Linked DNA regions of Sus scrofa. The protein of the gene in region 1 purifies or fractionates together with the protein of each later gene. This does not show direct contact. Links are inferred from orthologs where the notes say so. Each region holds a gene or a part of one and is shown in the gene's direction. Other genes may lie near its edges.

Region 1 (8,252 bases):
CCTAAGGTGGCAGGGCCGAGAGTCAGGCTGAGCTGTGTGCATCGTCCTGTGAACTAGAGGCGGGGGCAGGGGGGCGCTCTGCGGGACAGCACCCGCCCGGAGCCCTTTTAAATCCTGCCCAAGAAAACCGACTACATGGAGGAGGAAGCCGATCCCAAAAGAAGCTTCCAGGAGAGAGCCTGAGCTGCAGCTAGAGACGTTTAACACCAAACAAGCTGGGACGTTTCGCTGTTACACTGATACTTCTCTGAATAACCCCCTGACCCACCAGCACTATCTGACCAACCGCTGAGCCCTGAGTCCAGAACAGCCACCACTTCACTGGCTGCTCCTGCTCTGGCTCTTTCCGTGGACCATCCTCGCCACACTTTTCATGCTGTGATGCTCCGGGGCTCCTTTCTGGGATCTCATCTTTTCTCTAACTACAGCTACTCCAGCGCTAATTCCATCCAGACTCCCAGCTTTAACCCCCATGCATCAAACTCAGCATCTCAGGCTGGACATCTAATCCTCCTCTCAAAACTCACCTCTCCAGAACTGCACTGCTCACAGTCCCCAGAAGCCGGCTCCACCCACAGCCTCCCTTATTATTAGGTGACAGCACGTCCACCCTCCGGTCAGCAGGACACAACCTGGGAGTCCTTCTTGAGTCCTCTCTGGCCCTCAGGGCTCACGTCTAATCCATTGGGAAATCCCGTCAAAAGGTATCTTAGAATCTATTTGAGGACACTAAGCAATTAATGTTAACTTATTTTAGGTGTGATACTTGGTACTGTGGTTGTTTCTTTCAAAGTCCATTCTTAGAGATGCATCCTGAAACATTTACAGCGAAATTATAAGGTGCCTGGAATTTGGTTCAAGGTAATGGGGGACCTGCTCGGTATGTACCTGAGAAAAATGAAAACACAGGTCCACGTGAGACTGCTCTTAGCGGCCAAAGGGTGGAAATGACCTACATGTCCATCGACTGATGAATAAACACAATCTAGTACATTCCTACCCTACCATGTTAATAATATTGAGCAGGAGTGGCGCAGTGGTTAACGAATCCGACTAGGAACCATGAGGTTGCGGGTTCGATCCCTGCCCTTGCTCAGTGGGTTAACGATCCGGCGTTGCCCTGAGCTGTGGTGTAGGTTGCAGACACGGCTCAGATCCCACATTGCTGTGGCTCTGGTGTAGGCCGGCGGCTACAGCTCTGATTGGACCCCTAGCCTGGGAACCTCCATATGCCCGGGAGCGGTCCAAGAAATGGCAAAAAGACAAAAAAAAAAAAAAAAAAAAAAAAAAAAAAAAAAACACTGAGCAACACAGAGAAACAGCTCACAAGAAACCACATATTATGAGTCCATTTATGTGAACTATCCAGAATAGGCAAACATAGAGAGATGGAAAGACTAATAGATGCTTAGAACTGAAGTAGATAAGGTGATGGGTTGATGAAAATGTTCGAGAATGAATGGTGATGGTTGTGCAGGTGTGTGAATATACTGAAAAGCAGTGAATTGTTCACTTTCAATGGGTGAATTGTGTGGTATGTGAATTATATGTCAATAAAGCTATTTTTGAAAATAAGAGATTATGAGGGGTATAAATTAAGCAAAGGTAGCAACAGGTTGATAACTGTTGACGCTGGGAGGTGGGTACCTTGGGTTTATACTATCCTTTCTACTTTTGCACATCTTTGGTATTTTTCACAATAAAACGATCCGAGCCCCATCATCTCTCACCTGGATAACTGCAATAACCTCCTAGCAGATCACCTTGCTCCAACCCTTGCCCCCTACGTACAGTCTGTTCTACCCACCGCGCCAGAACAATCAGACCAAAAGGTAATTCCTACCACGTCTCTCCTCTATCCAGATCCCTACCATAGTTCCTCATGGCCCTCCGCCAAAAAGCCACAACCCGTACAACAAGATAGTAGGCCGTGCACTATCTGGTCCCCCATTGCTTCCTCTCTAACTATTCCCCCCTCGCTCACTCTATTCCAGGTATAGTGGCCTCCTTATGGCCCATTCATCCTCAAGTCACAGAACTGATATGAGGTCCGGCAGACATTAACCGTTGTGCAAAGTGAGCAAAATGAAGCGCATGAGGAAAGATGCTTAGCTGTCAAATTACCCTTGAGGCTTTTTTAAAGAACTTAACAACTTCAAATGTAGTCAAGTTCGATGAACAGAAAATGTCTCCGAAGTAGAATAGTCATCCACGAACTAGGGGTGTGGTCAGACTCCGCCGCGGCAGAGGAAGGAGAGGCGAAAACTGCCCCGCTCGTCGCCAGAGTAACCTGGGTCCTGAATTGGCCAGCCTCGGCGGGTGATCTAGAAGCGGGCGGCAGAACCGGGCCGGGGCCCAATAGGAGGGGAAAGCCTGGTCGTCCAGGGGGGGTCTCGGAGGTGGCGGAACGCCCACCAATAGTACCCTATCTTCGGAGAAGAGGACCACACCTGTCAGCAGAGTCGGTCCGACGTGAGAAGGGCGGGAGCGGCGGGTCCCGAGCGCTCCTCGGACCCCGGCGCTCGGAGAAAGTTCGGGTTCCGCGGTCGCCCTTCCCTTCTCGGGCTGCCAAATTCCCATTTCCTGCTTCCGGTGTCGTAGCTGTGGGATCCGGAAGTAAAACACTCACACTCCGCCCCCACCCCGCCCCCAGCAGGCCCGCGAGAGGCGCGAGGGAGACTTGTCCCCAGACGGAAGCCCGAGCGTACCAGGCTCGGCTGGCCCGTAGGACACTCTTCAATAATATGCGTCGCGACCCGCATTTCCCCTTGTCTCTCCGGCGGCGGCATCCAGCGAGCGGCAGGTCGGCTGCCCCGCCCCCACTAGGGGAGGAGCCACGACGAGGCTATCATGTGATAGGGCCAGTTTGATCGGAGTCGACGACCCGTCCAGTGAGGGGGCGAGGCTAAAGAGGGCCCCGCCTACAAGTGGGGTCGAGGGGCGTGACCACGCTGCCGGCGGAAGTGGAGCCCTTCTTGAGGGCGCAGGACAACCCCGGGCTGACGAGAAAGCCAGACTGTAGGGGCGGGGCCAGGCCAGGGATGGGAACGCGGGCGAGCTGTGGGGAGCTGCACACGGACTCGCGAAGCATCGGGGACACGGCGCAGCGGCGGCGAGGACAGCAGGGGGCCCGCAGCCCGGCGGCCGGCGCAGGTGCTCAAGGGGCGGAGCGGGTCAGGCCGGCAGGCCTCGCGCGGGAGCGGGGGGGGGGGGGTCCCACCGGCCCGAGATGCGCGCGCACCTGCCTCGCCCCGCCTCTCGGGGGAGGGGCACACGGAGGCCCCGCCCGCGCGCCTCGCCTGAGGCTGGTCAGCTCAGACCAGGTGCCCGCCCCCGCCAGTTAAATGGGCAGGCGGGGCGCAGCCCCAGGAAACTGCCGGGAACTCCGGGGCTGCGAGCGCGAAGGGCAGCAGCGGTGAAGCACAGGTAACTGAGTGGGCGAACGCTTTGATTTGCCACGCTTGGGAAGGGGGCAAAATCGAGAGGGTGTTAACTGATCTAACCGTCCCCTGCATACCCCCATTGGGCCCCTGAGGGGACCCCGAGAGGGGCGGGGATTGGCCGGGGTCTCCCAGCGGTGGTGGAGGAGGACTAGATCTACACTGTCAGCTGCTTGATCTAACTTGCTCCAGCTCATTGAGGAGCTTCCGCCTGAATCCTTGGTGAGATGGCCTTAGCAGGTGGTCCGATGTTCCAGCTTGGTGTTACTCCCCCAGAGCTGAGGCCCTCGTTGGAGTCCACTAATGCTTAGAGTAATGTTGTAATGTACACGCTGAAAGAAGGCTGTCTGGAGAGTATGACCAGAGCCAGCAGTTTCTCATCCCCCAACCATCCTGCTCGCAGCCATTCCCACCAAGTGGTTTCAGTAATCAGGCATCAGCTGGACGAGAGCCCAAAGGACTCCTCCAGAAAGGGGCCAGCCAGCTTCTCAGTGCTTTCCGGTTCTCCTGCCTCATCAATAAGTTTTTTTTCCTCCAGAGAGTACCATGGCAGAGCAGGTGGCTCTGAGCCGGACCCAAGTGTGCGGGATCCTGCGGGAAGAGCTGTACCAGGGCGATGCTTTCCATCAGTCGGATACACATATCTTTATCATCATGGGAGCATCGGTGAGTCTCCCCCAGGCCCCACATCTTAAATGCAGCAGACTTAGAGCAGGACATGGCTTAGGTCCCTTCCCTCTCCGTGCCTGGGCTCGCCCACCTGCTTGTTATAGGGCCTCTCCAGCTCTGCTTGGCTGGGCTCTCCCTCCTGCTCTTGCGCCACTATCACCCCAGCACCCCCTGGTGTAGGCGTATTGCAAGGCCTTGCTGAAGTCTGTGTGCAGCCATTGGCTGCAGCCTCATGCCCTGGAGCCCGGAGGTCCGCAGGGGCTGTGTGCTTGGACTTCCTCCTCCGTGGGGAAAAGTGAGAGGCAAACAGGGGAAGCTGTTCATTCTGGGAGTGTGTTTTCCAAACTCGCGTCTGACTTGGTAAACGGCGTGAAGTCAGTTTAGTTCCAGAGGTAGGATCTGAGGTCTGATCTCCACCTTGTGTCTGCCACGTCAGGTTCCGTGAGGACAAACACTCAACTTTGCTTTGAGCAGCATCTCTTTGCCCCAGCTTCTAGGGCCTGCTCAGGAGCTACGACCAGCCCCATTGTCTAGCCAGTGGACCTGCCATTTTGCTCTGATCAGAAAGGCCAAAGAGTAGACACAGAAGGGGGTGGCTCCTCAGAGAGCCATGACCCGCAGCCTAAACTCCCTCTGCATGCCGTGCCGTGCGACCCAAGCTCTCCCATGGGGCAAGACGCAGGCGGCCTGCTGGGGTTTCCTGTGCAAGTGATCTGTGTCCTCTTTTCCCTCTTAACCTTGGATGTGACCAAGAATCTGCTACCCGTGGCATCCACTGCTTTGCGGGTAACTTACTGTATAGACCTTGAGCGAGAGTCCTACCGGAACTCCTTAGCTCTTGACAGGGCAGGCCACTGTCCCTCTGTGCCTTCCACGCTGCTGTCCTCTCAGCTCTGGGGAACTCACCGCCTGCTCCCTGCCGACTTTGTGATTCTGGGCAGGACTTGGAAAAGGAGAGCCAGAAGGCGAAGGCTACCTTAAGCACTATCCCTTGAACCTTTGTCACCCGGCGACTGGGGGGTGCGCAGGAGGAACACACAGGGGGACAGGCTTATCCTGCACCCTGGCCCCAGCCCGGTCCGCTTAGAGGAGCCTCAAACCTTAACACTTGGAACTCTGACCATTCGGCCCTTCATCCAAGAACCCGGATGGTTTTTCCTCCTTCCTCCATCCCCACCCCAGCCTGTCGCAGGCCTCCGGAAGTGGCCCGTGGCCCCAGGCGCTGCGCCTCGCCGAGAGCAGCCAGGTGTGACCTGGGCCAAGTGTCTTTTCCCTCGTTGTCTCCACTTATCGACTGAGGGCTTTTGAAACAAGTGCCCAGGGCCCTGCGGAGCCGACCCTCTGACCCCTGGTGGCCTTCTCTTGTGGCCTGGCTCTGGGTTAGGCAACTTCGTGTCTTTGCAATCGGCTGGGTTCCCCTTTGCTCTCCTCTGCTCCGGGGCGGCTCTGCAGGTGGAGTGGGGGCGCCGGGGGTCCTGGGGGAGGAGCCTCCTTGTTTGTTTCTCCCTCCTCCTGCTCGGCAGGGGCGCCCAGGCTTGGGGGCGCCCCGGCTCGGGGCTGGCTCGGGCAGCACCTGGAACAGCTCCCGCCCCCCGCCACCCTCTAAGGTGTCCCTCCCTCCCTCCTCCCCAGGGGGTGGCAGCAGCCGCACAGAGAACTTGCTGGTTGCACGGAGCAGCAGGGTCTGAGCTCGGCCTCCCATCCGGAACCTGCTGCTCCAGGAAACCAGTGAGGTCTCTGTTCGTTCAGCCGTCTGGCACGGCGCGTGCTGGAGCCCCTGCTCCCCAGCCTGGCGGGGGCCCAGGGTGAGCGCATGTGACAGAAGACACCAGCAGGCCTTGGTGTCCGCAGAGCCAGGGCCACAGGAGCCTGGCACCCGGAGGGAAGAGCAGACCTGGAGCCCCGGGCTGTCCTCTGCCGCTTCGCCCTCGCCTGCCTGCCCACCCGTTGCCCGCACGCCCCACTTCCTTCCTGGGGGCGGCCCAGTGCTGCTCAGGAGTTACCCAATGGCTTTAGGCCACTCTCTCTTCCCTTCTCGGGACTCTCACGTCAGCAGGAAGGGAGAGGAGCTAACTCACTGTCCCAGTCCAGAGAGCTCTGGAATGAAAGGATTCCGTTTCTGCGAGAACAGAGTACCGTTGGGTCTGGCAGATGCGTCTGCCCCCATCTGATAGGACCTCGGCCAGGCTGGGGCCACTCCCCCCCCCCACCGGAGATGGCGGAGGAGGGGGGGAGGGCAGGAGAAGGGCCTGGGAGCCCTCGGGCAAGATTGGCTGCCTGGCTGCCGGAGGGTCCCTCGCCCCTCACCCCTCAGCCTCAGATCCCCACCCAGCCCACAAGGTCCCTGGACCCTCCCTGTCCTCAGGGTGTTTCTGAGCTCCCCCCCCCCCCCGCCCCCGCCACTGGGCCGATAAGGTTCTTGCTGTGTCATGGTGACGCTGGCGCACCCCCAAAGGCCGGTGATTCATGGGCCCCGGGTGTAGGAGGGAGGGCCGTTTTGTTGCTTTTGCGGCCCAGCCTGGCTCGCCAGCCCCAGGTTCTCTCGCCTCAGGGGCTGGGTGGGTCCTTGACCCGAGTGACCACAGGGGGACAAGGATGGCCCACCCCTGCCGGGCCTCCAGAGTTCACTGCCGCACCCTCGGCCCGGAAACACTCAGGGACTGAGACTTTAGAGACCTGGAGACTGAGGTCAGATCTGGGCGGTGACAGGCAGGTGGTGCCCCAGGTCCCTATGCCCCAGCCGGGCCCTTTCCTGTTCCTGGCAGCCGGAAGTCTTAATCAGGTCTTGCTTCTCCTGCAAAGTCACTGAGTGTCCCCAGGCGGTTCCTCCCCTGCTCTGGTCCGCAGGCAGAAGGGGGGTTGGGGGAGATGAAAGGCCTCCCACCGCCTCCCCGCCAGGAGCCCTTGGCCCTCAGCCGCCCCCGCACGCGGTGTGCCCCTCCCCACACGGCTTCCTTCGCACAGAGGAGTCTGGCCCAGGTGGGCCCCCTGTCCCCGCTGTCCTGGGTCCTACCTCGCCGTTCCCATGGGTGACCTGGAGCCCAGCGGGCCGCTGGTTTGGGGGCTGAGCTGACTGAAGCAAGCAGGTTCTGTCGCTGCTTAATCCCAAAGGGCACGGCGAGACCAGACAGCGCGGGGTGTGGGGCACACCGTGACTCAGCAGGCAGGAGACCGGTCCCAGTTGGTCGCAGCCCGCTGGAATTTGATCGAAGCAAACATTCCCGGTGCCCAGAAGGCCAGGGAGGTGGGAGGTGGGTGCGGGCTGTGGCGCTGCCGCTTCCCAGGCTCAGTCAGCACTGATTGTCGCCAAGAGGAGGCCCAGAGTGGGGCCTGGAAGGGGAGCTTGAGGCCAGGCTGGGGTCAGAGCTGGGACCCTGAGGCTGCTGTCCCGGAGCCAGGGCAGCCACACGGGGAACCCTGGTTGGGGAAGCACCCACTCTGCGGTCCCAGCAGGGACCAGAGATGGCAGAGAGAGGCTTGGACTTGTCCCTCTGCAGAGAGCGGCTCTCCCCAGGACCCTGGGGACAAAACGAGGCACAGGAGGAAGGCGAAGTTTCAAGTGTCGGTTCCGGCTTCCGTGGGGCAGTCGCTCCCAGACACGGACTCATCCGAGGCTGGCAGCTCCTAAGAGGTCACTTTGCTTGGGGCGTTCAGGGCCTTCCTGATTACAGGGCGGCCTCACGAAAGAGCCAAGGGCCCCTCTGTCGGGTGACCAAGTGAAAGCCTGTCACGCTGGACGAACTGGCTCTGAGAGCAGGGACTTGGTGACATTCCAGCGAGTCTCCTGTCACCGCTGTGGGAGTGCCATGTCGCTGCTCCCAGTTGCCGTGTGGTCACACCCTTGGTTTTATTTTGGAAAATCTCGCGCAAGCACAAGTCAGCAGTGGCGCAGACGGCCGCCCCCATCCCCAGGCCCGCCCTCTGCTCCGTTAGTGTTCTTTTCGGTGGAGTTTTTAGGCGAAATTTGTACCCACTGAAAGACGCACATCCTCCGTGTCCCATCGGGTACCCATTTCCATCACCACAGAGGCTGCTCCCATCCCCCCAGAAAATTCTCGGACGGCCAGTCCACCTCCTGGGCCAGACACCCATGGATGGAAGTTCCGTCACAGTAGCTGACTTTTGCCTATTTTTTTTCTCTTG
Region 2 (7,689 bases), on another chromosome or scaffold:
GGGGTAAGAGCAAATGGATGTGGTCATTAATAGGGAATGGCTTGTACTTGTTCTCCAACTCTTGGCCTGTAGGAGAATCGAAGCTTGGGACAGGGTTTGCATTCATCATCATTGAGGTCATGCTTTTATATTTCTGGACCTTGGAGTTCCTGTTGTAGCACAGTGGTTAATGAATCCGACTACGAACCATGAGGTTGCGGGTTCGATCCCTGGCCTTGCTCAGTGGGTCGAGGATCGGGCATTGCCATGAGCTGTGGTGTAGGTTGCAGACGTGCTCAGATCCCGTGTTGCTGTGGCTGTGGCGTAGGCCGGCAGCTACAGTGCCAATTGGACCCCTGGCCTGGGAGCCTCCATATGCCGTGGGAGCGGCCCTAGAAAAGGCAAAAAGACAAAAAAAAATATATATATATATATATACGTATATGTATTTCTAGACCTTCTTCGTCTTAGTTTTGAAACCCCATCCCTGTTGTCTCCAAGGGCACGAGAGACTACAGTCCCCGGCAGATGGCCGTTCGGGAGAAGGTGTTTGACGTGATCATCGGCTGCTTCAAGCGCCACGGTGCGGAAGTGATCGACACTCCTGTGTTTGAACTGAAGGTGAGTGAGGGACGAAGAGGAGCTGCACGGACAACAAAGAGGAGGGCAGGCCAGTGAGGCCCAAAGGGCTCTCTCTTGTTGCAGAAGAATGTGGATCTTTTCTCCAGGAGAAGCAGCACGGGACTGGCATAGAGGGAGAGGCCCTGTTTTTTTTTTTTTCTGCTTTTTTTTAGGGCCCCACCTGCAGCATATGGAGGTTCCCAGGCTAGGGGTTGAATTGGAGCTACAGCTGCCGGCCTACACCACAGCCACAGCAACACGGGAGCCGAGGCGCATCTGCGACCTACCCCACAGCTCACGGCAACGCCGGATCCTCACCCCACTGAGCCAGGCTGGGGATCAAACCCACAACCTCATGGTGCCTCGTCGGATTCAATTCCGCTTCCCCACAAAGGGAACTTCGAGGCCCTGCTTTTTAATTTACCTTCGTTGTGGCCAGCAGCTTCCAAAAGAGAGCACCTCTCAGGAGTGGACATTGGTGTGGCTCCTGTCTACACTGAATTCCATGGCACCTGTCCTTGAGTTTGTCCCAGGTACATGCAGACCAAACATGTAAAGGATAAGTATGCAGCCAGTCTCCTCACTGATTGACCTTGAGGTTGTTTCCAGTTCTTTGCTATTAAAAAAAGACAGTTCTTGGGAGTTCCCAGTAGAAACAAATCCGACTAGTATCCATGAGGATACACGTTTGATCCCTGGCCTCACTCAGTGGGCCAGCGATCGGGCATTGCTGTGAGCTGTGGTGTAGGTGGCAGACATGGCTTGGATCCCGCATTGCTGTGGCTGTGAGGTAGGCCAGCAGCCGTAGCTTCGAAGCAAAAAAAAAAAAGGCAAAATTCTTAGGGAGTTCCGGCCCGGCACAGTGGGTTATGGATCTGGCATTGCTGCAGCTGTGGCTTGGGTCGTAACTGCAGCTCAGATCTGATCCCTGGGAGCTCCATATGCCGTGGAGCAGCCAAAAAAAAAAAGTTCTCGGGGAGTTCCATGGTGGCCCAAAGGTTAGAGGATCTGGCATTGCCACTGCTGTTGCTTAGGTCATTGCAGTGGTGTGAGTTCAATCCCTCACCAATGCGCAGCCAAATGAAAAGAAACTGTTCTTGGGAATTCCTGGTGGTTTAGTGGTTAGGACTCAGTGCTTGCACCACTGTGGCCAGAGTTCAATACCTGGTCTGGGAACTGAGATCCCACATCAAGCAGCTGCACACCTCAGCCAAAATAAATGAGTAAATAGGTGTTCCCACTGCAGTGCAGCAGGTTCACGATCCAGCTGGTCTCTGTGGAGCTGTTGCTTCAGTCCTCAGCCTGGCGCACTGGGCTGATGTTCCAGGATTGCCGCAGCTGTGGCCGAGGTCACAGCTCCAGCTTGGATTTGATCCCTAGCCCAGAACGTCCATATGCTGCAGGTGCAGCTGAAAAAGAAAATTAATTACCTGTTACTTGGTTTCCTTGCATTAGTGTCCTGCCTGTCTCTTCTCATGACTATAGAAGATCCATGAGGGCCTGGGCTGCCTTTGTTCACGGATGTGATGTGTATGCTGGGCTTAGAACAGTGTCTGGTACTGTCGGTGTTTAACTGCAGGGTAAATTCACAGAAGTAGAATTTCTGAGTGACCTCAATCCTATTTCTACCAACTATGTTAGTTTGCTAAGGCTGCCATAACAAACTGCCATAGACTGGATGGCTCAAACAAACAACAGAAATGTATTGTTTCAGAATGGTTTTTTTCAGTTGGTATAGCCTAAACATCTATTAGTGAAACACTAGGCAGGAAGGAGATACAGAGCTTCTTCTCACTGGAATTATGCAGCTTTTAAGTAACACTTCAGGAGCTCCCATCGTGGCTCAGTGGTTAGTGAATCCGACTAGGAACCATGAGGTTTCAGGTTCGGTCCCTGGCCTTGCTCAGTGGGTTAAGGATCCGGCATTGCCGTGAGCTGTGGTGTAGGTCGCAGATGCAGCTTGGATCTCAGATCCCCAGTTCCTGTGGCTCTGGTGTAGGCCGGCGGCTACAGCTCCCATTGGACCCCTAGCCTGGGAACCTCCATATGCTGCAGGTGCAGCCCTAGAAAAGACAAAAAGACAAGTAAATAAATAAATAAATAATAGAAATAAAAATAACTCTTCAGGGAGTTCCTCTGGTGGCCCAGCAGGATAAGGATCTGGCGTTGTCACTGCAGTGGCTGGGCTTGCTGCTGTGGCAAGGGTTTGATCCCTGATGCAGGAACTTCTATATGTTGCAGGTACAGGCAAAAAGTAAAAAAAAAAAATTTAAATAGTACTTCTGCTCTGTCACAAAATGGAAATGTGATAAATAGAAAACAAAAGCGGGGTTTCCTTTTGATTATAACCACATCAAATAAATAAACATCGGAAGAGAGAGCAGAGGAAGAGTAAATAGGCTGAAATCAGTCATGTGAGAGTGGTAGTTTTTGTTTTTAAAACTTGCTGTTAAATTGTTATACTTACGGGGTGATCCCATTTCTTTCTGTTTTCTCCAGGAAACACTGACTGGAAAGTACGGGGAAGACTCTAAGCTTATCTATGACCTGAAGGACCAGGGTGGCGAGCTGCTGTCCCTCCGCTATGACCTCACTGTATCTTTTTACACTTGGGATGGATTGGCCCTTAACTGGACTGGGGCTTTTTCTAGCTTCAGGCTTGGGGACAGCTAGACACAGGTGGGATCAACTATGATGCATTTTGCAGTCAGGGAAATTATTTCTCTAAACCAGGAGCAAGACATTGGCAAAACAGACTATAGCCTTAGAAGGCCAGGAGTTCCCGTCGTGGCGCAGTGGTTAACGAATCCGACTAGGAACCATGAGGTTGTGGGTTCGGTCCCTGCACTTGCTCAGTGGGTTAACGATCTGGCGTTGCCGTGAGCTGTGGTGTAGGTTGCAGACGCGGCTCGGATCCCGCGTTGCTGTGGCTCTGGCGTAGGCCGGTGGCTACAGCTCCGACTGGACCCCTAGCCTGGGAACCTCCATATGCTGCGGGAGCGGCCCAAGAAATAGCAACAACAACAACAACAACAAAGACAAAAGACAAAAAAAAAAAAAAAAAAGAAGGCCTGTGAATCCTGAGCGGGACCTCAGCTTTAGGTAGGGCCCAGGTCTCCGCCAGCAATCCCGTGGCTCCAGAATCCGTCTCACTTGCCCTGTCCGGTGGGCAGAGTTCTCTTTCGTTGACCAACAGCACGTGTCCTTTATCTCCAGGCTACGTCCGCGCATCATACGCTTAGAGATCCTCCACGGGGCCCTTTTGCTGCTCCCCGGCCAGTCTGCCCAGCCCCTGCTGTGCTCAGCTCAGCCCCCAAAGAAAAGAGCCTTAGTGTTTTTGGAGATTTCAGCTGTCCCTTGCGGTAGCGAAGGTGGTTCTTGCTGGGGTACAGGAAAGCTGTTCATCTAACCGGTGCCGGTTTTACCCACAGAGGGTGGGGTCGGACCCCAGCTTCTGCTCGTGGTGATAATCCACTTGCCGCCTGCGATAGGAGGGACTTTCTCCTTAACTCTCTCATCAGGTTCCTTTTGCGCGATACTTGGCAATGAATAAACTGACCAATATTAAACGCTACCACATAGCCAAAGTGTATCGGCGGGATAACCCAGCAATGACCAGAGGCCGGTATCGGGAATTCTACCAGTGTGTGAGTTCGGGGGCAGGCCGGCTAAGGTGGCCCTCCCGCAAGCCAGGGGAATCTGTTGCGTCCTCGTGGTGTCCTGAACAAACTGGGTGCCCCAGATAATGTTAAGCCTGAGATTTCTTTAGTATTTTCACTTGCAGGGCAGGGATTATTCTCCTCATTTTACGTATGAGTAATCTTGAGGCTCAGCCAGATGAGGGGATCATAGGGATAAGAAAAGAAAGTTAGGGAGTTCCCGGTGTGGCTCAGCGGTAAGGAACCTGACTAGGATCCACGAGGACACAAGTTCGATCCCTGGCCTCGCTCAGTGGGTTAAGGACCTGGTGTTGCTGTGAGCTGTGGTGTAGGTCGCGCACAGGGCTCGGATCCCGCAGTGCTGTGGCTGTGGTGGCAGCTACAGCTCCACTTCCACCCCCAGCCTGGGAACCTCCATATGCCACAGGTGCGGCCCTTAAAAAAAAAAAACACAACACAAAGAAAGGCCAGATTAGAACTCTTGGTCCAGTGCTCTTTATATTAAACCATAGTGATAGAATCACAGCGATGGATAAAAGAATTGGCTTCGAGGTATCATTGACCAGAGTGGCAGCAGAGCTTCTGAATGAACAGAGAAAATGATGAAGGCTGCAGAGGGCCCCAGGACAGTGGAAGGAAAGAAGGGAAAAGAGACGAGTGAGATAATGAGAGACTAGCCCAACAGATGGGAAGGAAACCAGGACTGGGAAGGGACCCGGGAGGCTGAGGTGTTGCTCTGGGCTGACAGACCAACAGCATGAAGAAGGGGCTCTGCACGTGAGTCCAAGGAGGCCTCCTTCCTAGAGAGCAGAGCCCCCAAGGGTCCTCCCCCCAAACAGGTTAACCCCCGAGGACCTCTCACTCCCCCTGTCCCTGCAGGACTTTGACATTGCCGGGCAGTTTGACCCCATGATTCCCGATGCGGAGTGCCTGAAGATCATGTGTGAAATCCTGAGTTCACTCCAGATAGGCGATTTTCTGGTCAAGGTCAGCGCTCAGTGGGGCTGGGAGGGCACAGCTGGGCCTGGCCTCTCACAGGAGCAGGTCCTGGTGCAGAGGGACCAGTAGCGCACGCGTCCAAGGCTGTTGCGTGGCATGTAGCGGGAGCCTCTGCTCCTCACTGCTGCAGGTGAATGATCGGCGCATCCTGGATGGGCTGTTTGCCATCTGCGGTGTTCCTGACACCAAGTTCCGCACCATCTGCTCCTCGGTGGACAAGCTGGACAAGGTAACGACCCCAGCACTCAACTCGTCTTTTCATGGACCCCCTCCCTGCCCTGTGAAGTGGAAATGATGAGGAGCGAGAGGGCCCTGCCTCCGTCCCCCCCAGAGGAAGACACCCCAGGATGTAGGCTGGCGGGCAGGTTCTGCTCAAGACCGCCACTCTAGGAGGCCCACACTTGCTGGCAGTGGAGAAGCTGCCCAGGGGGTCCCTGACTGGCGGCATCTGTCTGCCCAGATGTCCTGGGAAGAAGTAAAGAATGAGATGGTGGGAGAGAAGGGCCTGGCACCCGAGGTGGCCGACCGCATTGGGGACTACGTCCAACAGCACGGTGAGCAACCAACCCGCCTCCCCGGCAGCCGTCCCACTGTCCTCAAGCCTAAAGCCCAAGCTCCTCTGTGTGTGTAGATGCACAGGAGAGAGGGGGAGTGTGTGTGTGTGTGTGTGTGTGTGTGTGTGTCTGCACACAGGCCTGCCTGCGCAAGTGGTCCAGAGGAAAAGGTAGAGCCCTTACCTTTTTCTCATTAGTCTGGCTCACAAATCTGTCTCCCTAGGCGGGGTATCCCTGGTGGAACAGCTACTCCAGGATCCTAAACTGTCCCAAAACAAACAGGCCTTGGAGGGCCTGGGAGACCTGAAGCTGCTATTTGAATACCTGACCCTGTTTGGCGTCGCTGACAAGGTGAGTCCGTTTGATGCGGGAGCCCTGGGGCTGGAGGACCTTGAGCCTCATCCGGAACTGAGCTTGCTCTTATCCCCCCAGATCTCCTTCGACCTGAGCCTTGCTCGAGGGCTGGACTACTATACCGGGGTGATCTATGAGGCGGTGCTGCTGCAGCCCCCTGCCCAAGCTGGAGAAGAACCCCTGGGTGTGGGCAGTGTGGCCGCTGGAGGGCGCTATGATGGGCTGGTGGGCATGTTTGACCCCAAAGGGCGCAAGGTGCCGTGCGTGGGACTCAGCATTGGGGTAGAGCGGATCTTCTCCATCGTCGAGCAGAGGCTGGAGGTAGGTCTTGGGGCTGGGTGGGCGACATTCTGGCAGCTGGTGGCACCTGAGCTATCTTCCAAGGAGGCAAGCAGTACTGCTTTGGACAAGGAGCCTCTTTGCAAAGGAACTTGCAAAAGATAATTGCTGTCCTTCACGGACTTCCGCCCCATTATAGGCCAGCCTGATGGAGCTCTGACCCTTCTTTCTTCACCAAACCCTTGGCTCTGGGTCCCTGTTTCCCTCGGGGCTGTCGGGAATCTAGGCCACTGTGTCCAAAGACCTGGATTGTCCTCATAATACAAAATACTTAATATTTTACTACCCTGTGCCAGGCACGGTGCTTAGTGCTTTTCATGCATTGTCTAATAAAATTCCTAAATAGCCCTCTGACAGGAGCTGCTTTTATTATTTACATTTCTTAGACAAGGAAACTGAAGATTATAGATCAAATAATTTACCCAAGATATAAGTGGCAGAGTCAGAATTTGAATCCAGGCTCCCAGCCAGCTTGCGATTTCGTCTCTAAGTGGGAAGCATGTGTCTGCGGCTCCAGGATCCCTCAGATGGTTCTCTGGACTCTCCAGCACCTAGAGTCACACGAGGAACGCCCTTGGTGGCCTCAAGCGCACCTCTGTTGCTGCTGCTCTTAAGTGGCTGATTCTAGTTCCTCCGGGGGAGTGCTCTGGCAGTCACCTTCCGCCGCCTCCCATCCTCTTCTCTAGAGTGAAAACCACTCGCGTTTTCCAGTGAGGTCACTGTTGCAGCAGGCATCTTATGTTTTAAGAACAATAAGAGGAGTTTTCCATAAAAAGATGCTGGCAGCAGCAGCAGCAGCAGCATTCTGTCTCCCCTCTACCCACACAACCCCCGATTTGTGCCTTGTGGCTGAAGTGTAAGAGTCACAGCCTCTTGACTGGACAAATAGCAAGTGGGAACTAGAACTGCCAGGGGGAACCGGCTTACCTGGGTGAGCTCAGAATGTCACTTTCTTGTGAATGCTCCTGTGGACCCATAAGGTTCTAGGTGGAGATAAGCTTGAAGTTACTATACATGAGCTACCTGTGCCCTGCATTGGGGGGGGGGGCAGGGGGGCATACCCACAACTCAAAGAAGTTCTCAGCCAGGGATCGAACCCATGCCACAGCAGCAATAACACCAACCCTTATCCCACTGAGCTACCAGGGAACTCCTGCCCTACATTATTTATTCTGGCAAGTCAC

What was found. Proteins that work in one complex are often made in the same cells at the same time.
Region 2: the proteins of G6PD (region 1) and HARS fractionate together in Homo sapiens (co-fractionation; 3 studies listed by BioGRID). This does not show direct contact. The link is inferred for Sus scrofa from reciprocal best matches to the Homo sapiens genes G6PD and HARS1.

Annotation. Positions count from the first base shown.
Region 1 is NC_010461.5:125,035,477-125,043,728, reverse strand, and holds the start of G6PD (glucose-6-phosphate 1-dehydrogenase), read left to right. Parts: upstream 1-2,688; 5' UTR 2,689-2,708; coding exon of another isoform or gene 2,709-2,789; 5' UTR 2,790-3,041; coding exon 3,042-3,153; intron 3,154-3,280; exon of another isoform or gene 3,281-3,426; intron 3,427-3,978; coding exon 3,979-4,106; intron 4,107-7,122; exon of another isoform or gene 7,123-8,154; intron 8,155-8,252. Other genes in the region: IKBKG (NF-kappa-B essential modulator), read right to left, coding at 2,709-2,789. UniProt on the Homo sapiens protein: Catalyzes the rate-limiting step of the oxidative pentose-phosphate pathway, which represents a route for the dissimilation of carbohydrates besides glycolysis.
Region 2 is NC_010444.4:142,389,191-142,396,879, reverse strand, and holds part of HARS (histidine--tRNA ligase, cytoplasmic), read left to right. Parts: intron 1-480; coding exon 481-600; intron 601-3,099; coding exon 3,100-3,195; intron 3,196-4,121; coding exon 4,122-4,247; intron 4,248-5,138; coding exon 5,139-5,246; intron 5,247-5,388; coding exon 5,389-5,487; intron 5,488-5,718; coding exon 5,719-5,812; intron 5,813-6,035; coding exon 6,036-6,487; intron 6,488-7,689. UniProt on the Homo sapiens protein: Catalyzes the ATP-dependent ligation of histidine to the 3'-end of its cognate tRNA, via the formation of an aminoacyl-adenylate intermediate (His-AMP). Plays a role in axon guidance.